Ovis aries: one gene and its partners. The protein of the gene in region 1 interacts with the protein of each later gene in a pairwise test. Links are inferred from orthologs where the notes say so. Each region holds a gene or a part of one and is shown in the gene's direction. Other genes may lie near its edges. The genes, in order: DAZAP2, MAPK1IP1L, TOLLIP, RNF115, HIP1, MAGED1 and keratin-associated protein 8-1.

Evidence for each region.
Region 2: the proteins of DAZAP2 (region 1) and MAPK1IP1L interact in binary tests that used the Homo sapiens proteins (3 or more experiments, as listed by UniProt). The link is inferred for Ovis aries from reciprocal best matches to the Homo sapiens genes DAZAP2 and MAPK1IP1L.
Region 3: the proteins of DAZAP2 (region 1) and TOLLIP interact in binary tests that used the Homo sapiens proteins (3 or more experiments, as listed by UniProt). The two-hybrid records come from large-scale screens. The link is inferred for Ovis aries from reciprocal best matches to the Homo sapiens genes DAZAP2 and TOLLIP.
Region 4: the proteins of DAZAP2 (region 1) and RNF115 interact in binary tests that used the Homo sapiens proteins (3 or more experiments, as listed by UniProt). The two-hybrid records come from large-scale screens. The link is inferred for Ovis aries from reciprocal best matches to the Homo sapiens genes DAZAP2 and RNF115.
Region 5: the proteins of DAZAP2 (region 1) and HIP1 interact in binary tests that used the Homo sapiens proteins (3 or more experiments, as listed by UniProt). The two-hybrid records come from large-scale screens. The link is inferred for Ovis aries from reciprocal best matches to the Homo sapiens genes DAZAP2 and HIP1.
Region 6: the proteins of DAZAP2 (region 1) and MAGED1 interact in binary tests that used the Homo sapiens proteins (3 or more experiments, as listed by UniProt). The two-hybrid records come from large-scale screens. The link is inferred for Ovis aries from reciprocal best matches to the Homo sapiens genes DAZAP2 and MAGED1.
Region 7: the proteins of DAZAP2 (region 1) and keratin-associated protein 8-1 interact in binary tests that used the Homo sapiens proteins (3 or more experiments, as listed by UniProt). The two-hybrid records come from large-scale screens. The link is inferred for Ovis aries from reciprocal best matches to the Homo sapiens genes DAZAP2 and KRTAP8-1.

The regions. Positions count from the first base shown.
Region 1 is NC_056056.1:134,989,234-134,993,441, reverse strand, and holds the start of DAZAP2 (DAZ-associated protein 2), read left to right. Parts: upstream 1-1,408; 5' UTR 1,409-1,490; coding exon 1,491-1,503; intron 1,504-2,505; coding exon 2,506-2,624; intron 2,625-3,038; coding exon 3,039-3,284; intron 3,285-4,200; coding exon 4,201-4,208. UniProt on the Homo sapiens protein: In unstressed cells, promotes SIAH1-mediated polyubiquitination and degradation of the serine/threonine-protein kinase HIPK2, probably by acting as a loading factor that potentiates complex formation between HIPK2 and ubiquitin ligase SIAH1.
Region 2 is NC_056060.1:65,599,142-65,603,127, forward strand, and holds the start of MAPK1IP1L (MAPK-interacting and spindle-stabilizing protein-like), read left to right. Parts: upstream 1-1,186; 5' UTR 1,187-1,344; intron 1,345-2,644; 5' UTR 2,645-2,732; intron 2,733-3,986.
Region 3 is NC_056074.1:46,562,165-46,566,205, forward strand, and holds the start of TOLLIP (toll-interacting protein), read left to right. Parts: upstream 1-1,241; 5' UTR 1,242-1,344; coding exon 1,345-1,377; intron 1,378-4,041. UniProt on the Homo sapiens protein: Component of the signaling pathway of IL-1 and Toll-like receptors. Inhibits cell activation by microbial products. Recruits IRAK1 to the IL-1 receptor complex. Inhibits IRAK1 phosphorylation and kinase activity.
Region 4 is NC_056054.1:99,098,361-99,101,860, reverse strand, and holds part of RNF115 (E3 ubiquitin-protein ligase RNF115), read left to right. Parts: intron 1-1,162; coding exon 1,163-1,278; intron 1,279-1,954; coding exon 1,955-2,086; 3' UTR 2,087-3,500. UniProt on the Homo sapiens protein: E3 ubiquitin-protein ligase that catalyzes the 'Lys-48'- and/or 'Lys-63'-linked polyubiquitination of various substrates and thereby plays a role in a number of signaling pathways including autophagy, innate immunity, cell proliferation and cell death.
Region 5 is NC_056077.1:34,461,034-34,465,229, reverse strand, and holds the start of HIP1 (huntingtin-interacting protein 1), read left to right. Parts: upstream 1-1,396; 5' UTR 1,397-1,417; coding exon 1,418-1,537; intron 1,538-2,112; exon of another isoform or gene 2,113-4,196. UniProt on the Homo sapiens protein: Plays a role in clathrin-mediated endocytosis and trafficking. Involved in regulating AMPA receptor trafficking in the central nervous system in an NMDA-dependent manner. Regulates presynaptic nerve terminal activity.
Region 6 is NC_056080.1:53,694,871-53,699,043, reverse strand, and holds the start of MAGED1 (melanoma-associated antigen D1), read left to right. Parts: upstream 1-1,373; 5' UTR 1,374-1,420; exon of another isoform or gene 1,421-1,527; intron 1,528-1,776; exon of another isoform or gene 1,777-1,900; coding exon of another isoform or gene 1,901-1,955; intron 1,956-4,173. UniProt on the Homo sapiens protein: Involved in the apoptotic response after nerve growth factor (NGF) binding in neuronal cells. Inhibits cell cycle progression, and facilitates NGFR-mediated apoptosis. May act as a regulator of the function of DLX family members.
Region 7 is NC_056054.1:125,440,375-125,442,684, forward strand, and holds keratin-associated protein 8-1, read left to right. Parts: upstream 1-1,271; 5' UTR 1,272-1,315; coding exon 1,316-1,504; 3' UTR 1,505-1,810; downstream 1,811-2,310. UniProt on the Homo sapiens protein: In the hair cortex, hair keratin intermediate filaments are embedded in an interfilamentous matrix, consisting of hair keratin-associated proteins (KRTAP), which are essential for the formation of a rigid and resistant hair shaft through their extensive disulfide bond cross-linking with abundant cysteine residues of hair keratins.

The DNA.
Region 1 (4,208 bases):
TGTGATAGGCAGAGTAAAGGGATAAGAACAAAACAAAACCAAACCACTGATTTGGGAACCGGGGTGGGGGTGGGGACCAAGATAACACACCTGACTTTGTAACCTGTTCACTGTGTGACTTAGGGCAAATCTCTCATTTGAAAAACAGAAATGCTTAAACAAGCCCTGCCTGCCACACAGGGCTGTTGTGAAGATCTGTGATGACTCCATAAAATCATGCATATTAATGGTGTCCTGCAAACTGTAATTTGACACTGGAGAGAAAAACAGCGGACTGCTGATGAAGTGAGTACTGGTCTTTTCAGTGGTTTAAGTCATTCAACAGCAAATATGGATCAGGTTGCTAATGTTTACCGAGGGTTTTTCTTTTCAAAGCTTTCTTTTCAGATGCTTTTCTAATGTTCTTCCTACACTACAGAATGTAAACCATGAGAAAATAGCCTTGGGCTGTCTTGTTCAGCTCCATCTCTGTACCTGAACACAGCAAGCGTTCAGCAAATATCTTAAAGAATGGAAGCAATTGTTGCCTTAAAGGATGGCATCTTTGCTCTTAAGAACGATTAAGTTAGAAGAGAAGGGATACACAGAGAAAATACCTATCAGGTACCATACAGGTGTCTGTGACAGGTATCAAAGTAAGGGCCAGGGCATGGGTACTCCTTGGGTACCAAGAACATGCGTTTTAGTGCTAGCTGTTGCAGCGGGGTGGGGCGGGGCACAGCACAGCATACCCTTTCTGTCGGTGAGAAAGCGACACAGAAATAAAACACCGACAGCCTATCGGTAGAATAGAAAGGCAGTGAAGACTTGAGTGAGGGGAACGAGAGATAGATCAAGGGTTGCGAAGCATCTCAGGCAGTTAGGTAAGATTGTAGAAATCTATGTCCCGTGTGTGTGTGTGTGTGTGTGTGTGTGTGTGTGTGTAGGAATCTATGTCCCGTGTGTGTGTGTGTGTGTGTGTTAGTTTCCGGTTCGGTCCATGGGAAATGGCAACCCACTCCAGTATTCTTGCCTGGAGAATCTCATGGACAGAGTCGCACAGAGTCGGACTCGACCGATGAGACTTAGCAAGCATGCATGCCCCTTGTAGAAAGGCTGTCAAGGTGAGGTGACCTTGAGGTGCTGAACGTAGGTGGAAAAAGGTTCCAGAGAATAGTTTAATGTTACTGCCTCCGAGCGTTCAAGAGAGAGAAGATCCCGTTTTGAGACAATACCTGTATTTGGTTTTCCTTCAGCCGAGGGACAAGGGTAGGGGTTGGAGGACCAGACCCGGTGGGCGGGGCCTACGCGAGCGGACGGGATCACGCGGGCCCTCCCTCCTGCAACCGGCGGCCGGGCGAAGGGGCGGGGTTTCCGGTGGCAGCGGCACTCGGGCGTCGGGTGACGCTAGGCGGACAGATCGTCACGTGACACGGAAGTGACTACGAACAGGAAGAGGACGAAAAAAATAACCGTCCGCGACGCCGAGCCGAGCCGGACCCGCAGCCACCATGAACAGCAAAGGCAAGGATAGGGGGTGGCTGAGGCCGCCGGGGGGACTAGTGCTGGCCCGGAACGAGCGGGCCCGGAGCCCAGGGTCACCGAACGCCAGGCCTGGGGCGAGGTGCGCCGCGCTCCTGAGCCAGCTGCAGTGCCCGGGGCTGCGCCAGACACCTTCGTCATTCCCGAACTACGGCCGTTCGCTCCCTCACGGCCCTTTCTCCCTTAAACTCTGTGGCGCAGTTTGGAGCTGCGGACTCGGGTTGGGGGGGGGCTGTTGGGTGGGTGGGTTGGGGGGGTGGGGAGAAGGTTTGTCGTGATGGGCATCTGTAGGAGCAAATGGGGAGCTGGAGGCGAGATTTGGGTAGGCCAATGGAGAACTGGCAGAGGCGGGGCGCCGCGCTCCGGAACCACAGGCAGGCCTCCGGGCTTAACTAGTAAAGTGCCGCTCTGGTGGGCGGGCCAGTCGGGCCCGAAGGGGGTCTCTTCCCCCTTACCCTCGCTGGCGGCCAGAAAGTCTCCCGGTTTCTGTGTCAGAACATTCCCTTCAGCCCCCTCCACGATCTCAGCATTCACTTCCACCACTCACTCTTTTCATTTGGAAGTCGACCTTGAGTAGGAACCTGTGAGGTCGATGACCACAACCACCGTTACTCACGAGGTCTTGGTCAGTTACAACCAGACCTTTGGAGACCACGCAGGACAGGGAGACAGGACACACCGTTGAAATACCGGCTAGAGGGGATGCCCAGAACTGCCCTGCGTTCTGAGAGGATCTTGGGCCCAGCTAGACTTTCCCCTTACAGCAGTCGGCTACTGGATGTCCAGTTGGAATCCAGCTTCTTCAGCTTTAAGGGTGCAACGAGAATGCTTATTTTCTTGGCTCCAGGAATCAGGCCCTCTAGGGCAGTCTGTTTGGAAATCTCTTTTTGCTTATCCCAGCTAGATTAGCTACCCAATATGCCCTGCTTTGTTTTGGTGACTGTATGGTAGACAACATGCTTTTTTTCCCCCCTTGTCTTCCAGGTCAATATCCAACGCAGCCAACTTACCCTGTGCAGCCTCCTGGGAACCCTGTGTACCCTCAGACCTTGCATCTTCCTCAGGCTCCACCCTATACTGATGCTCCACCTGCCTACTCAGAGGTGCTTCCAGTTAACTTAATAATGGAATACTCTTGGATCATGTTTTCGGTCCTTGGCCAAGTCTGGCTCCACACATTTATTTACTTTCCACAAACAGAAGAGAGTGCTCACATGAATCATCTTAAAACGTGACATAGTTCAGCCATTTCTTTTGGGTTTGAGAAGGCATTATCTGATTGTTTTATGTTATTTGGCACTGGCTGAAGTTAAGAAGATGAGTTTGCATTCCCTGAGCCTAACATTAGCTATAGCAGGAAGTGATCCAGGAGAATATTGAGTGGCAGTGGAAAGGCAACTTGTGTAACTCAAAGAGTGTAATCTGCACAAGGAGAATTAAGACTTGACTCATTAAATTGAGATCTGAAATAGGAATGTCATGAAGTAACTTATTGCCTTCTCTTCTGCCTCTTCTAGCTCTATCGTCCGAGCTTTGTGCACCCGGGGGCTGCCACCGTCCCCACCATGTCAGCTGCATTTCCTGGCGCCTCACTGTATCTTCCCATGGCCCAGTCTGTGGCTGTTGGACCTTTAGGTTCCACAATCCCCATGGCTTATTATCCAGTTGGTCCCATCTATCCACCTGGTTCAACAGTGCTGGTGGAAGGAGGGTATGATACAGGGGCCAGATTTGGAGCTGGCGCTACTGCCGGAAACATTCCTGTGAGTATGACTTGGTCACAAAAAAGCTCGACCCTTGTGTATTTTAACTTTCTGAAATGACTGGTCATCCTTTCATCATCCCTGGGTAATAGTTGCTGGTATTGGTGTAATAATCACTGACGTCCAGTAGTCAGGCAGAAAGCACTCAAAGGGGCAGGAGAACCGTGGCCAGTCAGTAACATCTGGCGTACTCACTGATGTTAGAATTTATCAGATTCCTTTGTTTTCCTGTCTTAGGAGTCCTGCCTGCTGCTTTTCCAGTTCACTTTGATACTAGTTTAGTAACACTCCTCATTCATTCCATAAGCATTTATTTATATGTGCCATCAGCATGGCATCGTATTAGGAACCATGACGATTAAAAAAACAATGCATAATCCCTATTAAATTGCATTTAGAGAGATACTAGGGATTTTAGCAATGTCTCTTGATTAGTTCCCCTATGTATGGGAATTAGAGCCCATATGGTCCTTGCTAGGACCATCTACTCAATAACCATAGGCTAGGGATGAAGTGAAAATGCTGTCATCAGGTAGAGCCTTCAGATTATCCAGGGCCATTTGAAAACTGTCAGGCCCTGTGATATAAGTCCCTGGACCTGGTACCCGCTCCGTTTTGGGATGTGAATAGGAGTGATTTTCTGCACTGAAAATGCCAAGTCTGGACTTCCCACACTTAGAAGGTATCCATAGGCTTTATTTTGGATCCAGAACCCTTTAAATGAGTGGGTTTCCTGTTTATATCTTTGGCCTTACAAAGAATGTAGACCTGCTGGACTCAGATTGGTGGCCCAGATAGCTCTTTGAGATGCCGCTGGTTAGCACACTGCCATCTTCCTGATTGGTCCTTTTTCACCTTTGTCCACTTCCCTCCCATAGCTGCCCTCTGCCCAATCAACCTTGTCTTTTCCTTTCAGCCTCCTCC
Region 2 (3,986 bases), on another chromosome or scaffold:
GCCATTGCCTTCTCCAATATGCTGTCTAGGTTGGTCATAACTGCTTCCAAGAAGTAAGCGTCTTTTAATCTCAGGGCTGCAGTCACCATCTACAGTGATTTTGGAGCCAAAAAGAAAAAAACGAACGTCTGCCACTGTTTCCCCATCTATTTGCCATGAATTGATGGGACCAGATGCCATGATCTTAGTTTTCTGAACGTTGAGCTTTAGGACAAATTTTTCACTCTCCTCTCTCACTTTCCCCAGGCTTAGGTGTTCGAAGTTTCTCTATCGCTCATTTTTCAGTATGGGAATTACGTGTGCTGTGGAATAAACCCACATAAGTCTTCGTTTAAGAAGCTAATAGTAAAACGTCCACCCTCCAATCCACTAACAGCAAGTGAAAATAAAATCTAATAATACTGCATACGTTTTAATTTTTACACTAAAACATATGTACGTGTTATATATGTATATTTTGCACAACACGTAATTATGACATCTTCATTGTTAGCTAGCACATTCCCTGACCGCTGCGGTCAGACCCCTTTGGGGTCTGTCACAGAGTAGATAGGTAAAGGTTTATTCAAAACTAAACTACGGGGAGAAAAAAATATTGATCAGAAAAAACCTGCAAAGATATCCATTCCTTTTGTTAATATCAATTTGTCAAGCCATTTGCAAACGTCTTCACTTTTCTGCAGTGTTGCTTTACATAGAATATATAAAAGTCACTCAGTCGTGTCCGACCTTTTGCGACCCCATGGACTGTAGCCCACCAGGCTCCTCCCTCCAGGGGATTCTCCAAGCAAGAGTACTGGAGTGGGTTGCCATTTCCTTTAGCTCTCCACAATTTTGGCCAACGGATCTGTGCCCCGGGTTAGAAGGCATTCACATCTAGCCAGCTTCGAGGCCTAACTCTCAAATGCCGCAAGTGTAGGGAATCCAGAACTTGCTTTCAAGCCTCTCCAGGAGACAATTTCCTCCAGGCTGCCAGAGCGCAACTCGCCACTGGCGTTTCCTTTAGACACTCAGAACTCCGGGAAACTAGGGATCTTTCCTCCCGCCCACCGAGAGAAAAACAGCCGAGCAGCCGTGGACTGGCTGGCCGCAGTTCCACCGGGGCCCTGAGGAGGGCGCGCGCGGCCGGGCCCCGCCGACCAGTGGGGAGGCGGAGCCGGGTGGGGGCAGCGCGTCCGAGCACGGCGCTTCCTGTTCCGGCGCCAGGAGGAGCCGCGCGCTGCTGGTGCTGCTGCCGCCCCCGTCTCCGCTGCCGTCGGTCGGGCTACGCTCGGTTCTTCAGCGCCCAGTTCTCGCGGACCCATCGCCACTTCTAGATCTTGCTGCGAGTTCGAATCTTGCCGGGTGAGGCTGCCTCGGCGCTAGGGGGGTCATGGAGGAGAGCGAGGGAGCCCGCCCAAGCGGGACGCGGGGACAGTAACGGAGGTGCCTCAGACGCCTCTTCGCGGGGGCCGGGGGCTAAGAGTCTCTCCCCGTGGTTTTCCTCTCCGCTGTGGGCAATCAGCCCGCTAGGCCCCCAAGGAGAGGGCGTCGGGGGCGGGTGACGTCGTAGCGATGGATTTCTCGGCGGGTGACGTCAGGCCTGGCTCGGGGGGCGGGGCGGGGAGCGGGCCTGGCCCCTCCCCCACCCTTTCCCGGGCGGGCGCGACCCGCTCGGAGGCCGGTTCGCTCCGGTTAATCCCGGACTCCTTTTGTTCGCTGGGCTCTGAAGGGCTACCCGCCTAGCGCCCCTTGGCCCCGACTCCCTCCCCTACTCATTAATTGCTAAGGAAAGGGAGAGGAAGGCTGAAAGATTCTTGTAGGAGTCTTTGGCGCTAGTTTAAGATTATTCGCAATATGAGGTTTTGCTCATCTTTTTTTTTTTTTGTCATCATTTTCTAGAGGAGTTCCTAGCAGATACTCAGATGAATATCCATGACAAACTGAGAAGTGTTGAGTTCTGTAGTGCTCCCTTATTTTAGGATTTAGGAGCGCCTGGTGGCTTTGGACCGTTTTCTTCTGAAAACCAAGAGTAGCGCTTTTAATAAATGGGGATAGTAATGTTGAAGCATGGAAGCATACTCATCTGACAGAAGACGAAAAACATTTTTATAGGGTTGCTACTAAAGAAATACACGCTCGTACGCTTCATGGCTGTGAGTTTGTTTTGAAAACGAACCCTCCATTAAAGACGAAGTTACCCTTCAGAAATCTTTCAGAAGCTCTTTGTTCGGGAATAGTGGTCTTCGGGCAGGAGGAATAGACATTTTTCTCAATACGAGTGTCTCTGAACTTTCTATTCAAAGCTAGTTTGTTTCAGAAACTTGAGTTATGTGTACTGGAATGTCCCTTTTTCTCTCTCCACGAGGAATGGAGACCCAGAGACAGCCCCTTAACTGAAATCCTTGGGACCAGTGTGTTTTGGAATTCAGAAATCCTAAAATTTTATCTTTAGGTTTTAGAAAGACGATAAGGTACAAAGACGAGAGATCACACCAGCGGAGTCGGGGCAGCGTCCCCAATCCAGCATTAATATTTGTGCAGCGATGAAAAGTGAAGTCGCTCAGTCGTGTCCGACTCTTTGCGACCCCATGGACTGTAGCCTGCCAGGCTCCTCTGTCCATGGGATTTTCAGGCTGGAGTGAGTTGCCATTTCCTTCTCCAGGGGATTTTCCCGACCCAGGGATCGAACCCAGGTCTCCCACATTGTAAACAGACGCTTTACCGTCTGAGCCACCAGGGAAGTCCACCAAGTAAGTTTTATGTCAAACGGGAACACTTCTTTCATTTCTAGAAGTTTCTAAATTGAGAACTGCAGGTAAAAATTTACAAACCTATCATAGCAATTTGTAGAAACTGACACCTGTTGAGTTTTTGCTACGTGCCAGACGGTGACCAGGAGATTTATTGTGTAAGTCTCACGGCAAATCTGTGAGGTGGATACTACTGTCAGCTTTCACCTCTGGGGTTGGCACAGCTTGGCTTGTCCAGAGCCCACCAGTGAACTGCAGCATTACCTAGTTTTAAATACTTGTGGTGTGCACGCCTTTATTTTTCTAATGCTTTTTTAGTTGAAGGATAATTGCTTTACAGTATTGTGTTGGATTTTGCCATACATCAGCCTGTACTAGCCATAGGTATATACATATGTCCCCTCCTTCTTGAACTTCCCTCCGACCCCCCTCCCCAGGCTTGTAGCCATATGCAGTAGCCCGTACACCGAGGAAGAGAAGATGATATGTTTATTTATGTTCTCTAGGCACTTTTACTATAGGCACTTGATTTACCAGTCCCATTTAGTCCTGACCCATTTAGCCCTGACCTTAAGGACCCATTATTATAGTTGAAGTAACAGGTTCATTGAGGTGAGCTATCTCTGAGATGGTCAAACTTTGGTCTAGAGACTCTCTGGTTGAAGCTTTCATATTCCTCCCCTTTCTACATTGCAGCCAATCTGATCTGCTTATATGTCCCTGCCCCAGCTTTTGCACAAACTGCTCCTTTCCCTAGGGCCTACCCCAGGTCTTTTTGTTCTCCCACACTGCAAAGACAGGACTCCTCAGGATTCCTCCCTTGATAATCCTTTCCTTGATACCTTTAGGAGCTCTTCAGGGTGCTCCCATAGTGCCCTGCACTTACCGCAGGTAGCCTACTGTTTAAATGGTAGTTCTCCACCAGACTGAACTGCCATTAAGTGTTTATTCCACCTAAGACTATTCATTTCCCCAAGGCCCAATGCAGTACCAAGCACTTAGGTTCCAATAAATATGAGTGTAGAAAATAGGACTAACAGGACCTTGTTGAAAAGTTATTTTTTTAATTACATATTTTTAAGTAATTTAAAATGTTCAAAAACATGCAGATCCCAATTTCTTAAGTTGTCCAAATGTAAAACAGAGTGTTAGCTAATAAATGACAATACTAGAAACTATCACATAAAAATGCTCATTCAAAATTTATATTTTCAGTACAATATATTTCCAGTATTCTTTCCCCATACTAAACAA
Region 3 (4,041 bases), on another chromosome or scaffold:
GGCAGCTCCCTGAGACTAAAAGTCTCTCATGCTTTGCTTTTTCACTTCGCCCTTTCTTGGTAAACAGGACATTTGCTGAAATCTCTGCAGTGTTCTTCCCGAGAACACCCGCTGTTTCTTGCCGGGACCCTGACTGATACTATAATTGCCACCGGAAGTGACCCCAGGAAACAGGCTCTAAATGGGATTCTGGCCTTGAGGTGCACGTCTATCTGATGAGTGTGTGGATAAAGTCCTTGCCCAGGGAAATCGAGTACCAGGAGCCCGTGTCATCCAGGGACAAGGGACATCCCAGTTCCTAAAATGGTCACCAGCGGCGGCATGGGGCGCCGTGCCAGTGGGTAGCCAGCCGCTTGGGCAAATGCGGGACTGCAAAGGCTGCGCAGTGGGCTGGCTACTTCTGAAGGTTCTGGGAGGCACACAGCAGGGCAAGGACGGCTCAAGCCTCGGGTGTGAAAGTGCCCTCCAGGCAGGCCACCGGGAACGCCTGCACCTCGACGAACCAGACACCCTGGGGACGCACAGGGGGACCCCGTGTAGGATGGGGGCTCTTATAGGTGATTCCGGGTAAGGTTTAAGGACGCGGGGTCTCGCTGTGGGTTGGGTGCCATCTGGAAGCTCCTTAATACTTCCCATCCGGGAGAGGCGACTGGCGGGCGGCGGAGGCTGTGGCGCGAGGGGGACGCGGCGCTCCAGCTCGGGCGCGAGAGGGTGGCCACTGGCGGGGGAATCCGCGCGGCGGCCTGGAGCGGCCAGCGGCTGTCTCGCGCCACCGCCGCCTGGGAGCCGCCGGTGTCGGGAGCAGAACGCCAGGCCCGGGGGAGCCGCCTCGGATGGAAAAGCGCAGGGCTGCGTGGAGACCCCAGCGGCCGCCCGGCCAGCAGCGTCGGGCACACCGAGCCGAGGGGCCGGCGGGCGGCAGGGGAATCGCGCGGCCTCACCGCCGGAACACTCGGAAGGCCGCGGCCGCACCGGGTCACGCCGGCCGCTCGCGGGGCGCGGCCGGGCCACGAGCCCGCGCGGCAGCCGCGGCGGCTCGCGTCACCGCCCGCCCCGGCCGGCCGCGCCCGGCTGCCCGCCGCGCCCCAGCGCGCAAGCGCACAGCGCCGGCCCGGGAGCCATTTCACGCGGCCGCGGCGCGGCGGGCGCGACTGCGCAGGCGCCCGGCGGGAGCGCGCGCGCCTGCGCGAGAAGCCGGAAGCGGCGGCGCGCTCTGCGCCTGCGTCCGGGCCGGGGGGGGCGGGGCCGCCGTCAGCTGACTGAGGCGGCTGCGGCCTCGCGGGACCGCCGTCGGCTCGCGTCTCTGGCGGCTGTCGGGGGGCTACGCGCGGGCCCGGCCGGACCATGGCGACCACCGTCAGCACGCAGCGCGGGCCGGTAGGCTCCGGCGGGGGCGGGCTCCGCGGCCTTCGGGCACAGGCCGACGCCGGGCTCCGTGCGAGCGGAAGGGAGTCCCCGGCAGGGAGAGGCCGCGCACCGTGCGGGCCCCCGGGAGGACGAGGCCTCACGCTCACCGGGCGCCCGAGGCGGGGGGTGGTCGGCGCCGGTTGGTTCCCGGGGAGGAGGCGGGTCGGCGCCGGTTGGTTCCCCGGGGCCGGGGAGGGTCGGCGCCCGTTGCGTCCCCGGGATGGGCGATGGTCGGCGCCCGTTGGTTCCCCGGGGCCGGGGAGGGTCGGCGCCCGTTGCGTCCCCGGGATGGGCGATGGTCGGCGCCCGTTGGTTCCCCGGGGCCGGGGAGGGTCGGCGCCCGTTGGTTCCCCGGGATGGGCGATGGTCGGCGCCCGTTGGTTCCCCGGGATGGGCGATGGTCGGCGCCCGTTGCGTCCCGGGGAGGAGGAGGGTCGGCGCCGGTTGGTTCCCCGGGATGGGGGAGGGTCGGCGCCCGTTGGTTCCCCGGGGCCGGGGAGGGTCGGCGCCCGTTGGTTCCCCGGGATGGGCGATGGTCGGCGCCGGTTGGTTCCCCGGGATGGGCGATGGTCGGCGCCCGTTGGTTCCCCGGGATGGGCGATGGTCGGCGCCCGTTGGTTCCCCGGGATGGGCGATGGTCGGCGCCCGTTGCGTCCCCGGGAGGAGGAGGGTCGGCGCCGGTTGGTTCCCCGGGATGGGGGAGGGTCGGCGCCCGTTGCGTCCCCGGGTGGAGGGGGCCCCGCCCCCACCGGCGGGCCCCGGGGTCGGGCGGGGTCGGCACCCGCTGGGTCCCCGGGAGGAGGCAACACCCTGTGCCTAGAGTGTCCGTCTGTAGAGGAGCCACCCGGCCAGGCTTGGATGAAGGAGGGTCCAGGCCCAGCTGTGTCCCTCGGTTCCTTTGGTAACACATGAGGGGTCCTGAGCTGGGAGTCCTCTTCTGCCCCTGGCCCTGGAGTCCTGTCTCCTGCGCGGCTGCTGTGTCCTTGTCCAAGAGCAAGGCTTCGGCTCCTGGGGAGTCACCTCTAGCCCCCGTTCAGACTGGGTTGGGGTGCCTGACCATGAGCGGTGAGGGTTTGTTTGCTTTAATCACAGTCAGAGCCTTCAGCTGGGACAAGGTTCTGGTTGATGGTTTGATGTGGCTTCACCAGGGAAGTCCCCGCAGCCCTGGCTCTTCACTCTCCCGCCAGGATGGACAGATCTTGTCTGTGTCTCTGCCAGCGGGAGACGAATCTATCCACACGGCGTCTTTCTGAGTTTGAGGAAGGCAGGTCTTGTTGGAAGCCCTTTGGGCACAGGTGTTCTTTCTGACCGTTTGAATGGGACGTGACAGGGCTTCGTGACAGACATGCATGTGGAAAGGTCCCGGAGTTCGTAGGGTGGATTCTGGCCCCTGGCTTCCCGTCTCCGTCTTCACTGCACACAGTGGCTTGGAGCAGGCTGAGCGTCAGCACTTCCTCCGTTCTATAGGGGCAGCAGGGACGGGTGTTGGTTCTGTCCTGGGTCAGACCTGCTGGGAGCTCTGTGCCTTCGCCAGGCGGGATCCGCAGGCAGACATGCGCAGGCCTGGGACCCAGGCAAGGGGAGCGCGTGGTGAAGGCGGGCCTCCTCTAGTCCAGAGGGATGTTGGCCCTGCGCTGAGGTAGGGCTGTGACAGGGCCCAGGCGGCAGGGGGTGTCTGGATGTGAGGCCTGTGCTGTTGAGCTCCCAGTGACCCGGACGACTGGCACGTTCTCTTGTCGGGGACTTGGGCCCCACGCGTGGACTGGCAGGGGTGTGGGGGTGCTCCTCAGGGGCCGAGCTCATGCCCTGAGGTTCGGTCAGGGCCAGAGCAGCTGGGGGCTCCGGCCCTCGGGCGCACTGGCCTCGGTGCGGGCGCTCTCGGCGTCTTGGGTAGCACGGCTCACTGATGCCGCCGTCAGGCTCACAGAGGAGCCAGGCCTGGGCCTGAAGGTCTGGCCTGGAATCGTGGTGAGCAGTAGCCTCCCTGGGCCAGGGCGTGGGGTGAGCAGGGCTGTGGAGGAAGCACGGCTGACCGAGACTTAAGGGAAGGGGAGCGTGGAAAGCAGAGCTGGAGAGGGTGGGGAGAGCCACTGCTTCGAGGCTGGGAGCTCCTGCTGGGGTGCCTGTGCTGGGGGGCGGGGGGTCACTCGAGTGGGCTTTCTGTGTTTTCTAGAGCTTTTGCCTGGTACCTACCCTCTCGTTCTACGTCTCCCCACCAGCCTATCCCCCGTGGGTGAACGACACTTGTAGAGGCTTCCTCTCCAGTTATCGGCGTTGGGGAGCCCTTCCTTTTGCGGTTACTAGAGTCTGGTGGAGACCGCTTCCCTTGCCAGGATGCATGGACTTGGCGGGGGCTGTCCTGTGCGTGCCTGGTGCAGTGGAGGCCCGCGGATGCGCTGGGTCCCGGCTGGGTGGCACGCCCAAGGGCCAGCCTCTGCGGGGGGTCCCAGCCTGGCTCACACAGGACAGGCAGCACTCAGCCTCAGCCCAGGGTCACTGACCAGGGGACCTGGGCTGACTCTGAAGTCTGATTGTCTCCTCCGGCGCCTGGTGAAGGACGGATGGGCAGGGTCCCCAGGCACATGAAGGCAGAAGTGGGCCTGCCCACTTGGGGAGATTCCCTCTGTCCCTGAA
Region 4 (3,500 bases), on another chromosome or scaffold:
GCTACAAAGGAAAGGGTAGACTCAGATAATTTTTGAAGAAACGCTTTCATCATTGATTGCATAAGATAAGGAGGGGAAAGGGGGAAAGATGATTCTAAAGTTTTGCAACTCTGCAACTACAGAGGTGGTGCTGACATCATCAGGGATGGAAGAATTGTGAGCAGGCCCTGGTTTGAATAAGGAGGTGATGTGATGTTTTTAATTTTGAATCTGTTGCTTTTGGGGATCCCAACTGAGAATCCAAGAAAAGATGAGCTGGGAATTGCTGTGGAGCTGGTATTAGGGAAAACTAACTGGTAGCAAAGTATAGGATATATTTGGCAGGCCTGGAGTCAGGGTTGTTACCTAAGAGGCTATTGCAGTAAACTAGGCATGAGAAGTAAAAGCTGAAATCAGGGCAAACATTGTGGGAGTAGAGAGGAGGGAGGGAATCTTTTAAGTGGTATTTTACTCCAAATGCTGTGAATACTGTGGAGCATGTAGCATACATACCCTAGCTGCTGGAGAGATAGACTAGCTGGTGTTATTAGCCAAACTTGGAATTTGCTGCTTGGTAATCCTAGTTCAGTTTGTAGCCATTTTGTCTCAGAAGAAGGTTTCCTGTCTCTGGACTTGGAGCCTGAGTTACCCTTGCAGTTCTGTCGCAGCGCCTCTTGGTACAGCTTTTAATAAACACCTGTAAAAAGGGCTTTAGGGTAACCACGATGCAATAGAATGTGTAATGTCGAAAGTAGTAGAGTGAAAGTGGCTTGACACACTGAATGAGAACTGCCAAGATTGTTGAGATGAGTCCTTTGGTTGTGGTGGACAGATTGCCAGTGTTTCCTAAGTAGAAACTGCCAGAACACATTTGAGAAGATATTTTTCCTGTTTTACTTAACAGATAATCTAAGCCCCAGTTCTTCCAACTCTTTATGTTGAAAAATAGACCTCATAGAGTTGCTGTCTGGACCTTATTGGAATGGGCCCATTCTTCAGTCCTTTTCATGTCCCTGGCTATTACCACCTCTGTCCCCATTTTGAAGTAAAATTCTGCTTCTTCTCTGCCTCCACCCTAGATGCACTTTGTTTTTTCTTTGTATACCTTTGATTATTAAAGACATTAGGCTAGGTTTTCTTCCTTCTTTTTGCTTATTTTAAAAGGCATTTCCTCCTCTAACAGATAAGGGCTTAGAGTGTCCAGTATGCAAAGAAGATTACACAGTTGAGGAGGAAGTCCGGCAGTTACCCTGCAACCACTACTTTCACAGCAGTTGTATTGTGCCATGGTTAGAACTGGTAAGTACAGACAGCTCTCATCTGTGATAGGGCCCCTGTGCCAGTCATGTCTTGGGGGGATCAGTAAGGGCATAAGTAACAGTTAGTGGAGAGCCAAACAAATCAGATTTTAGTTTCTGGCTAACTCCTAGTAGCACCATTACTGTGTTTTAGATTGTTAATCTGTTCAGAACTTCTCTGACCAGGGGTTAGCAAACTACAGCCTATAGGTTTCTGTGGCCTGGCACATATTTTTGTAAATGAAGTTTCATTGGAACATAGCTATGCTCATTTGTTTACAGATGGTCTATGGCTACTTTTGTGCTCCCTCAGCAGAGTTAAGTAGTTGCAACATTGGTGGTATGGCCTGCAGAGTCTGAAATAGTTACTAGTTTTTCTTTAACAGAGCAAGTTTGCTGACCCCTGCTTAAGTCCATCTCAGTCATTGTTTCTAGTTAGTTCTGTTTGATAGTATGTGTTAGCTATCGTTATGTTGCTGCCTTGAATTCTTTGTCAGTTCTGTTAAAAGTTCTGTTTGGGAAATGTCCTGGGGTTACACTTGAAGCCCAGCAGGTACTCTGTGAGAAGGCATGCCCTTTTTGTTTATCTACCTGCTAACTCTCAGGGTTTCTTAAATGTTTAGTTCTTCCAGCTTCTCGGGTCAGGCTGTTCACGTGGATTTATATCTTTGTTTCAGCATGACGCATGTCCTGTATGTAGGAAGAGCTTAAATGGTGAGGACTCTACTCAGCAAACACAGAGATCCGGGGCTTCTGCAAGCAACAGATTTAACATTGACAGCCAGCTACATGACCGATGGACTTTCTGAAACTAAAGACCACGTCTGAGCCAGGGCTATGGTAGACCTCCTATCACAGCTATTATTTGTATCAATGCAAAAAAAATAGTAGGTGGATTTAGGAATCACTTAAGAAACCCCAACTCATAATATTAATTCACTGAGTGTTTTTCTTCTCTAAATTTAAAGTTAGTGTCTACAGATGGAATTGTATCTAGAACCAAATGCCTCTTATTCCTGAATTCAGAGTGATAATTTTGTAAGTGTGAAACTTAATTAATATGGGTTTCCCCTGCCAGAATAGAATTGGTTAATTATGTGGGTTTCCCCTGCCAGAATAGAATTGGTTCCTTAAAGTCTACCTAGGGTCTTGCTGTCTGTCATGTTACCTGTGACGGTTGTTTCCACCTCTTTCTTCAACCTCCACCGTCGTTAGTGTACTTTATAGTAAATACAGTGGAACCAGCCGTAAAGCCCTGCTGATAAAGTGCTTCTGTTTTAATTGTACACAAGCATTTACTCTTGGCCACGTTAGCCATGGAGTAAAGTCATATTAAATCAGGAATCTGAGACTAATGATTTTTTTTTTCTGAAATCTTTAGAGAGCAAATCAAAACAAAGTTACAGTGGGAAGGCTTCTGATTGTACTCTTTGGTTTTCTCATTTTTATTTTTAAAGACTACTTGGTAAGATGCAGCTTCTGCAGAAACCAACATGACAAATGACATGTCTTAAGAGTCTTACGTTGGTAGGAATCTGATTCTGGTTCCTATTTGGGAATAAGTTGGGCAGGATAAAGGCACAGAAAGACAGATGTTTGAAATCTCTGGTTCTGAGGTTTTTTAGTGATTCTCAGCTCACTGTTTATCCTGGGGACCTTAAAGTAAGTTCCCTCACAGAAATAGGATTATTTTATTACTGCTTCTGCAGCTGATTCATGTTTTTTTAATAATTCATTGGTCTTCAGGAATTGAGACTTTATGTTGTTTCATTTTAATTTTTAAAGTGCATTTTCATCTCTGAAACCTCTTTATGTTTGCTTGGTTCTGGTTATACTTGGAGTCATATTGATTTTTGTGATCATGCGGAAACAACTTGGCCTCGGAGAGATAGGCCTTCTTTTTTCAGCCTGTGTCCCGTGTACATGTACATGCTCTTTGGTGCATTTAAGTGTTTAAAGTTGAATAAATGAAGAAGCTTAAGAATGTTGTTGGAATGTGAAAGTCTTAAAAATAAATGATGGGAACGTGTAACCACAGTTGGTCCACCAAAAAGGGTGACAAGAGGGGCACCATGGGTGTGGTCTTCTCAGCCCTTCATGGTTGGAGTGATCAAGAAGATGAGTCTTTGGTGAGTCTCTTTCTTGGTTAGTCTCTTTCTTGGTCTGTCACACTGGTTTTGGGCATGAGGGATGGGGTTAGAGAGAGCTTTGTAATTTAGTAGA
Region 5 (4,196 bases), on another chromosome or scaffold:
CTCGATGGACCTGAGTTTGACTAAGCTCTGGGAGTTGGTGACAGACAGGGACGCCTTGCCTGCTGCAGTCCATGGAGTTTCAAAGAGTCCCACCCGACTGAGCGACTGAACTGACTGATTCACAGAACCTCCCACAGGATTGAACTCTCTCCTGGCTTGCTAGTGGAGGCCCTCGTGGGCTCTCACCTACTGCCGGAGTCTCCCCATTGGTTCCCTTCCTTCCCGTCGCCCCCAGAATCCCATCCACACGATGCCAGCTGGCAAAGCCGTCAGAGGCTCCCCAGTGCCTACATAGGCCCACCCCCTCTTCTGCTTCTCTATTGAATGTGTGAATTTTTATCAAAAGCTCTTAGTCAAAAAAAAAAAAAAAAAAGTAACGCCTTTCTTTACTTTGAGTTGCAAAAAGCATTTATTTTTAAAACATCAAAATTGGCATTTGAACAGAAAACTTTTAACTTTCTTCAGCATCTCGGCTAAGGATCTTACTTCCACCCCCTTCCATCCCCCCTACGCCTGTCGTCAGTACCTTGGCTGACGACGGAGCAGGATGGGAGGGGTGTCCCAGAGCCGGGGATAAATATTAAAATGTCCACATGGGTTTCTACCAACGAATACATCCTGACCAGATCCAGAGGGTGAGAGGTTTGTAAAGGTGTCGAGAAGTTTCCACTGACCCAGCCCAGCGCTCCCTGGTCTGCGAACATTACAAAAGGGATGGGCAGGGATTCGGGGCAGGGGCAGGACGAGGGAGAAGGCGGTGGGAGCCGCTACCCACGCCGGCCAGGTCTGCGACCCGCTGAACCAACCTGCGGAGGCCCGGCCTCAGGGCAAGCGCATCCTGGGACAGGGGCCGCCGAGCTGGTCCATCGCGCGCGCTCTTGTCTCCGGCCCGAAAAGAGTTAACAGGCCAGTCCCACGCGGGCCCGGATTCCCTGCGGCAGGCCCAACTCACCGCCAGCTTGACCCCCGCCCACCAACCAAGCCGGGACCTCGCGGCGCCCGGGGTGGGGTGGGGGGACTGGGAGAGTGCGGCTCGCTGGGAGCTCGCGGGTGCAGCCAGCGGCTGGGAGAGCCGCGCTCTGGGCGTCGGGGAAGGGGCGGGCTAGGGCAGGTCAGGCCCGCCCCCGCCAGGGGCGGTGGAGGCCGGTGACCGACAGGCCTCCGGGCCCGTCCCGGCGCGCCTGACGGTCCGGAGCGCCCTGCAGGGTAGGGCCGGGGCGGGGGCTCTGGAGAGGGCGGGGGCGGACGGGGAAGCCTCTGGGCTGGGGCGGGGCCTCGGCAGAGTAGCAGCGCTCTCAGCCAATGGGAGGCGGGCGCCTTCCCGTTAGCGCCGGATCCCAGTGGATAGGGAGGGGCGGGCGGCGCCGTGGGGATCCCGGGGCGGCTGAGGGCCCCTGACTCGGCTCCGCGCGGCGACATGGACCGGATGGCCAGCTCCATGAAGCAGGTCCCCAACCCCCTGCCGAAGGTGCTGAGCCGGCGTGGGGTTGGCGCGGGGATGGAGGCTGCGGAGCGGGAGAGCTTTGAGCGGACTCAGGTGAGGACCGGGGCGGGGTGGGGGACACCCCCGGTCGTGCACGGCTGGGGCATCCCGCAGTGTCCTGGAGGGGACTCGAAGGGAGTAGGGATCTTGCAGGCCCAGGGAAGGACTGAGCAAGGGGGCATCTGGTGCGGTGGTCAAGGCGGTCTGGGAAGGTCGGGGACCCCGGGGCCATCCCGGCTGGCCTGGGGGAGAGGGCAGGGCGGCTCTGAGCAGCTGGCACGGTCCGCGCGGTGCGACCGACTGGAGCCGGTCCCGGCGGGGCAGGGCAGGGGTCACGGGGGCGGTGAGAGGGGAAGGAACGCGAAAAGGGGGCCGAATGGAAGGGGTGCCCCTAGCTGGGGAAGGTCCCTGGCGGGGGGGGGGTGGCGCTGGGGGTCGCAAGTGTGGCTGCAGAGAGTGGGGCGCTGAGTCGGGAATGTGAGGGCTGGGGCGCCCTGTACTCTCCGCTCGATCACTTCAGGACTGCGTTGACATTCCCCCCGTCCCTAGCATCCCCTTCCTTGTGCCTCTAGCTTGGCTCACGCCAGCCCCCAGCTGTCGGCCTCGGAGGACCGGACTGAAGGGGTCTGAGCCCGGAGGAAGGAATGTAGGAAATGCGGTGTGTGGCCGAGTTTGGAAGATGACCGGGGGCTGGAGGAGGGGGCCGGCCCAAGGACAGATATTGAGGGTCCTGGACCAGTGGCCCCGATTCGGGTCAAGTTGGGTTGTTCTGGGGTGCCCAGAACCCTGAATCGGGGTTTTGATTTCATCCCCCTAAATGTGCCTGACAGCTAATAGGCAGCCTGCCCTAAATTGTCCAGCCTGAGCAGGGCTAGGGGCCAAAATTCCTCACTGTCATCAACAAAAAGCCACAATCCATTTTTACCTCAGAGTTTTAATGCCTGGTGTATTGATTGGACTGAATAAAGCTGACATGTTTATGGTGTTCATCGGCTGGTTTGTATGCAAAATCCATTTCGAAGGGCACAGCACTTCTTTTAATCCCACTGCTGAAGTTGTATGGGCAAGTTTGTTCCTCACTCGCGCTCACTCTTGCTCTCGGAGTGAAACCTTTGAAGAGCCAGGGGGCTTCCGCTGCCAGAAGCTGGTTCTCCCGTTCTGTTCTGCTCCCCACCGCCCTCCCCAAACTTAGTACCATGTGAAGGAAGGGCAGTGGGGTTTTAGATAAAGATTGTGAGGTCCTGATCGAGTGTTCCATGTAGGGAATCTTGCAAAGAAGGAAACTTTTCATGAAAACCCAGGAGACTAATTCCTCTTCTTTTTCCAGGCACCTCTGGCCCTTCACAGGTGTGTCCAGGTGGTGTAAAGTAGGCAGTGTCCCCTCCCTAGGTCATCATTCTACCCCACACGGGATGGGAGAGAAGGCTCTTTACTTCTCTCTCCCAGGGTCTGGCTGGGTTTAAGCTTTATTTTCTAATTCTGTGGATTGGACCCCAGAAAGGAAGGAAGATGCTTGTCTGCTATGGGCATTATGCCCTCGTCTAGCTGCCTGGGCACACAAGGCTTCTTGCTCCAGGAAACAGTGTAAATCTTTCTTGTAATGGACAAGGAAAATAAATGGTAATTCATTCCTTTTAGAGTCTCCAGTAAAAACTGGAGCAATAGAGAAATACACATAAGAGTTTGACCCATTATAGTGATGGAAATTAGGTTTGTGAAAGTTTCTCTAGCTATCCAGGGACGTCCCAACAAGGAGAGTCTAGGTCAGTGTTAGGCAGTATCTTACATTCTGTGGGGCACTGATAATTGGCCAGATTTGAGCTAGTGGCGTGTGTGTGTGTGTGTGTGTGTGTGTGTGTGTGTGTGTGTGTGTGTGTAAGGGAGGTAGAATGAATCAGGAAAAGAGTTTCTGTGTTGTTGAAACTATTAGGGCAATAAGAGAGTGAAGAAAAGGAAAGAGAACAATTCTAAAAACCTCACCTTAGTCAATCTGCAAAAATGTGTATTGTTTAATGACTACTTACCCAATGTATGTGTGTGTTAGTCACTCAGTCGTGTCTGAATCTTTGCTACCCCATGGACTGCAGCCTGCCAGGCTCCTCTGTCCACAGAATTCTCCAGGCAAGAATACTGGAATGGGCAGCCATTCACTTCTCCAGGAGATCTTCCCAACCCAGGGATCGAACCCTGGTCTCCCTCATTGCAGGCAGATTCTTTACAGTCTGAGCCATATGAACATGAGTTATAAAAAAAATTTAATGAGTTAAGAGACCATGGAATCAGTGAAGGTGGGCGGATGATTGTAACTAATTATGTTTGGCACTTTTCTGAGTACTTTATTGTATCACCTTCTTTAATTTCAGTAAAGTACTGTGAGGTGATATTGACAAGGACCTATGAGGTGAGTATCAACCACATTTTATCTGGAGGAAATTGAGGCACAGAGAAGTTAAGTAACTTGCCCAAGGTCAGACAGCATGTTGTGATCCCAACCTTTAACCACAGCTCTGTGTGGCTTCTGAGTACTGGGCCGAGCACTGGTATGGGAACTGGAAGAGGCTGAAATTTGATAGCCAGGCACATGGAGGGGCTGTGGTCCCAGGCAAGTTTTCCAGCTTTTCTTAGCCTTGGGTTCCTTATTGCAAAATAAGGATACTACTTACCTCACAGGTTGATTATGGGAGACTAGATTAAATAATATACCTGGAGGCAT
Region 6 (4,173 bases), on another chromosome or scaffold:
ATCACTGCTTCTTTCACACTATACTTCAAATCCACTATCTTTCTTCCTTTCCATTCATCCATTCCATCATGTATTCAACATTAAACAAGTCTTCACTGAGTACCCTCTAGTATATAAGGAGTATTTTAGATTTTAATTATTCACCAGTCGATGGAGTAGCCATAGTTTCAACACTGTCTTCTCTTCATCTATTATTATTGTCACATTATAGTGCTACTAGTTCTTTATGTGTTCATTTCCCTCACTGATTGGAGGGTCTTGAAATCCAGGATTCTATCTTAATCTTCTTCATATGGACAATATCAGAAACAGAACCTTACACCAAGTGGTTGTTCAAAATCTGTTGGTTGAATGACAAAACATGAGTTAAATGCTGAAATGAACTATACAAATACTAGCAAAAGTAAAGACCTTGTGCTAGCCTTTGTCATTGCCCTGACCACATTTTGGTCACTTATTCATTCCACAAGCATCTATAATCACCTATTTTATGCTAGACTCTTACGTGTTTAAATGTTGCCTTAGCCCCTAGGCTGTGGCTTCTAGTGCCATGTCTCTGGGTCTAACGCAGTATTTGGTACACTTGCAAACTGGCTGAAAATAACCACAAAAGAGAAGAACTGGGGTACAGATTTTGGCCCTAGAGGAGTTTTCTGGAGGTAACAGCAATAGGTAACTCAATATTGAACTTTTAACCAAAGTAAGGCTTATTTTTATTATTGAAACTTTTTGTCAATTATCATTGTCTTCATTTGGGTGGGAGGGGTATAAAAGTACACAAGAATGCTTTCTAAATGAGTTCACTTTCTTTTGCAAATTTTAAGTATGGAATGTTACTCTCTGGATACCATTCCAAGACGGAAATGATTCAGATTTAAGACTTTTTAAAGATCTTGAAATTTTTTTAAATTTAAATTTATTTATTTTAATTGGAGGCTAATTACATCTTGAAATTTTTATACTAGTAATTAAAATGAACTTATTTTTTTAATTCCAGAAAGCAGTTAATCAGTATGATAAATATGTAGCTGTAGACATCCGAGAGTTAAGGAAGTAACAGTACTTGAACGTCTGAATCAGCAAGGCGAGGTGACAAATAGGATACACAGAGTTTGGCAGAGATGCTACAGTTCCTTGGATGACTAGGGCTAGTAGGATTTGTAAAAAGTTACTGATTCCTTCTTCCAGAGATCCTACGTCACTATCCAGGTGCGCATCTGGTGAGAGAGCCATTGAGATACAATATTTCAAAAGCTTGCTAGAAAGGCACAGGAAGTTGTCTGGAGTGAAGGCGGAGGTGGGGTGGGGAGTGATGGGGGCGGGGGTGAGGGTGTGGCGTCCTGGGCAAAAGCTTCCGCCAAACAAAAGAAATTAGCACTTCCGGTCACGCCTTCATCTTGTCGCGGCGTTCTTCACCAAGGTGAGTGTAAAGAAAGGGACTGATAATTTTCACAAGTGAGTCCCCAAACACTTCAGGAACGCTTTCCTCTTTGTTTCGCCACGAGGTGGAAAGAATTCATTTCCAGGGTACATTGAAGGATGTTTCTGACGCTTGTGGTTCTGATCTCTGTCTTCACTCTCTCACTCCTCAGGAGATGGCTGGCCGTCATCCCCTCCTTCTGACTCTTATGGTCCTTTTATCCCTGATTATTCTTCACTTCACCTCTTAATCTCGAATCCTCTTCCCGGTCTTTATGAACTTGGGTCATTCCCTGTACCATCGATTTCTTTCCTACCTCTTACTCCCACCTTCCACCCCGCCCTCTTCTTAGCTTCAGAACTTTTGCTACCCTCTTCCCCGACTCTGGCTTCTCTGATGGCTCAGACGGTAAAGTGTCTACCTGCAATGCGGAAGACCTAGGTTCTATCCCTGGGTCGGGAAGATCCTCTGGAGAAGGAAATGGCAACCCACTCCAGTACTCTTGCCTGGAATATCCCATGGACGGAGGAGCCTGGTAAGCTACAGTCCATGGGGTCGCAAAGAGTCGGAAACGGCCGAGAGACTTCTCTTTCTTTCCCCTAGTCTGAGCCTACATTCTTCCCTTTTTTTCCCCTTTAGACCCCAGTATTTTACTCCCCTGAAGACTTCTGATTCTCTTTGGTCCTGCTTCTGCGGAGGACAGTGAATTATTTATTAATACTTTATAAAATTAGGTGTGACTTCAATTTCAAGGGCAAGGCTGTTTTTGTTGTTTTTAAAAATCAGCAATGGAGCAGAAAATTTTTAGAGCTCTCAGAGACGTAGGAACTTGTTCAGATTATGTACTTGTATTTATTTATTACCCTAAACGAAATCCCATATCAGATATTGCACTGGTTTCAGCCTATGACATAAAAAAATTTTGGTATACAACTGAATCTCCAAATTTTGAGTGACAAATGTAGTGAGTTTTGCTTATAACTTGGTGTCAGCTTTAGAAGAGGGAAGCTTTCCCATCTTTAGAATTTCTCACGGGGCAGAAATGGTTGACAGAGATGACATCCAATCACAAATTTATTAATTCATGTGAGTTGGGTTTATTATGTAAATCTTTTCCTGTTGTTCAGTAGCAACATTGAAGAGCAAGTTGACAGATTTTTCAGACAAAGATTTTTTTTTTTTTTAGGAGCTATGCATGTATTATCTATTTGGTGTAATATGAATTTTGTCTTTTTCATTTGTTGCAATGTGAATTTACGTCTTTGCACCATTTATCATGTCTAAACTGTCTTGCAAGACTGTTCATTAATTATCACAATTTTTTATTTCAATTCCAAGAGAGAGAAAAGTAAATTTATAATGAGGGTGAGGGGTATTTCAGGTTATAAAGCGGAATTTAGCAGTCTCCTTGAACAAGCAACTTATTCCCTCTTCTGTAAGGTGTTAGACTTGCCAAAATAAGGGATGATTAAGTATAGTTGAGAGACAATGAGTGAATATAAAATAAATATATAATAGGTTGTGATAGAGATGGTTGTACTATGTTAGATAGGAAAGGCAGAAAGGCCTCCTTGGTATTGTGACATTTGAGCAGAAATCTAAAGGAAAAGAGGGCACAGACTATACATATATGAGTGGGAAGCCAGGATATATTTATGACAGTGGCTTTGCATTTGTTGGTCATTTTGCTTCCAACATTCGCTCTTCTTCCCTCTGCCTGTGGTCACTAGCCAATGGCAACCCATTCCAGTATCCTTACCTGGAAAATCTCATGGACAGAAGAGCCTGGTGGGCTGCAGTCCATGGGGTTGCAAAGAGTCGGCACGACTGGGTGACTAACACTTACTGCCTACTCGAATGATCTAATCTGTCCATGTAAGTTCCCCATATTGTCTTTCTCCTGGCTAGCTTGTTGCTACCATTTAGGTGAACTGTCAGTTACCAGCCCCTCTGGGAAGACACGTCTGCCTCTATCCTGACCTCTTCCTCAGTGTGTTAATTTGTGGTGCATTGTATGCTGTCCTACAGCGTATTTGCTTTCCTCTCTCACTGCTCTTTTCACTGCGTGTTCATAATGTTGCCCATAAATGTTGGTGTGGTAAATTGAAATGAATTTAGTGCCTGTCTTTATAAACAACCTTTTTAATGTAGTTGGCTCCCTAATTAATGTTCAGAACCACTGTTTAAAGTCAGTATCATCGTTGTCATTTTCCTGATGACAAAACCTAGACTCAGGTGGGTAGTAACTTGCTAAATGGTAGTGGAGTTAATGGAGTTAAAATCTGTCAGATACTCAGTCCTGGCCTGATCGTCTCTTTCTCTCTCTCTGTCTCTGTTTATTAATGAGAAGTAGAAAATACTCAATATTTTATTAGACATAGTCTGGATATAAAAATTTCATTTTGTAAGCTTTCTTTCACAAGTCTAATTATATCAGGTACTTGATTTACTTCCTAGTTATAAATGTTAAGAGCTGAAAAGTGTGATGACTTTTTACTTGAAATTTTTTCCCATTTTCAAACTTTTTATTCTTTTTTTTTCCTTTTAAATTTTTAATTGGGGTATGAATACGTAAGGGTACAGCTGAAAGCATTGTCACCACTGTGTAACCTACCACATGATCCAGCAGTTCCACTCATGGTATATATCTGGAAAAAGTGAAAACACTAATTTGAAAAGGTGTGTGCACTCCAGTGTTCTTAGCAGCACTATTTACAATGGCCAGGATATGGAAACGACCCAAGTGTCCATCA
Region 7 (2,310 bases), on another chromosome or scaffold:
GATCAGTCTTATTCCTCCTTTAATTCATATTTGAGAACTAAGTTTCCATTTAGAGAGAAGATTTTTTTCCCCAATTCTGGTGCATTATCACCCTTAAAGTGATATAACTTAGATTTAATATTGTCATCTGGCTCTTTACAAGATCATCATATTTGTTACATAATCTGGTTTTATTAGATCTAATGAAAAAATCATGCACATTTTAAGGTAAAAGTTCCCATTCATTATTCTGTTTTTACTCTGTTGTTATTTTCAACATTTATTTTAAAAAGTATATTCGACCAACATGTTATTTGACAATTAATTTCTAGGATAAATCCACAAGCTTCATTTTTTTTTACACTTACAAGATTATTAGTTCAGGTAGTGGTTTAAAAATGTGATGTTAAATATAGTTCAGGTGGGTATTATAATTAAAATTGAAATTTTATTCAGTTTTGTAAACACGGTAGCTATAAATAGAGGAAAAAAGAGTCTTTCCAATGAACTCTTTGGTATTTGTCTTGGATAAAGCCAAAATAAATTGTTTAATCAGACAAACACAAAGAATATCTCAGTCTCGAGGTGATTTCACTATGTATTGGCTTTCCAGGTAGCACAGTAGTAAAGAATTCGCCTTCCAATGCAGGAGATTCAAGAGACGAAGGTTGAAGGTTGGATGCCTGGGTTGGGAAGATCCACTGGAATAGAAAACAACCCATCCTAGTATTCCTGCCTGGAAAATTCTATGGACAGAGGAGCCTGGCAGGCCACAGTTCACCAGGTCACAAAGAGTTGGACGCAACTGAGGACGCAACTGAGCACGCGCACACACACACACACACACACACACATACACACACACACACACACACACAGTATGTATATGTTATTTCATTCAATTTTTTCCAACACATATTTATTGAATTCCAACTGTGTGCTGTGGAAATTCAGTGCACAAGATGACTGGATAACAGTTAACAACCTCAGAAATTTTCGTAGTACTGTAAAGCCTGCTTCCAGAGGCTTGTACTTAGGACTTTATAAGACCCAGGGCTTTGAAGACTCTGCAAAGCGTATTTTAATGAAGGGACACAATTTACAGGAAGGACTCCAGCCCCTGTTATTCTATCACATGAGAGCTTTCTGAAGCAACTGTAAAGACATCTTAAGCAAGCAACACAAACTAATTAGCAAATTGGTGTCAAGAATGAAAATGACGCCTTGTGTTTTTCGCCACGTCCCCTAGCCCGGGTATATAAAGAAGGGAGCATAGGGAATCCATCATACTGAGGAAATTCATTCCCTGCTCTCCAAGCCGCCCAACCCAGACACCATGAGCTACTGCTTCTCCAGCACCGTCTTCCCAGGTTGCTACTGGGGCAGCTATGGCTACCCGCTGGGCTACAGTGTGGGCTGTGGCTACGGTAGTACCTACTCCCCAGTGGGCTATGGCTTCGGCTATGGCTACAACGGCTCTGGGGCCTTCGGTTGCCGAAGATTCTGGCCATTTGCTCTCTACTGATTTGCTGAAATACCAGAGGCATGGAATCTTCTCCCCCAAACCCACGAGGCGGACTTCCAGGTCCTCAGAGACTCATCAGCCTCCCAGTTAGCTGCTTTTCACATCGGCACCAGAGTCTCAAGGGAAGAAGATGAAAAACCACTTGCCTCCAGCTGCCTTCCCTGCATGATGTTTGTTGGGACATTTTGAGAAACTTGACACCCAAACACGTTTTACGTTTGAATTTTTCACCATGCTCATGACTCTTGTCATTATCAAGTTGTGGATGTGTCTGTCAAATTCTCAATAAACTTGTCTCAACCGCTATTATATTCTTACTTGAGTGGAGTTTCCTTTCTTGGTGCGCATATTTCTTGAAACAGGCAGTGAGGTGGATAGTGGATTTAGTTTTCTCATGTGGTTGTTAGAAGCAGTGAGAAAGCAAATAATCCTGCTCTCGTGTGAGAAGCAGGCAACAGGGGTCTGCTTATGATTTTTTAAAAAATTCTATCTTACCCTTCCTTTAAGTCTGCGACATCCTCCTCCGATTCTGGCGCCAGTGTTACACCATCCATTGCTTGGTGTCCCTCCGCATCTCGCTACTCCTGTTCCTCACAAGGGAACCCAACACTGAGGGACTCTGTCAATTATTCCTGTATCAATACAAATCAAACCCACTATTTTCCCTCTCGGGGACCAAGGATTGTAAATAAAATGCCATGTCCCTTATTTAAGGATTCTGGAGAATCTAGAATACCTATAGACATATTTTAGGGATCTGAGAGTCTTTTAAGGGAGGAATAGATCCCCCATCTCAAACCACCTAG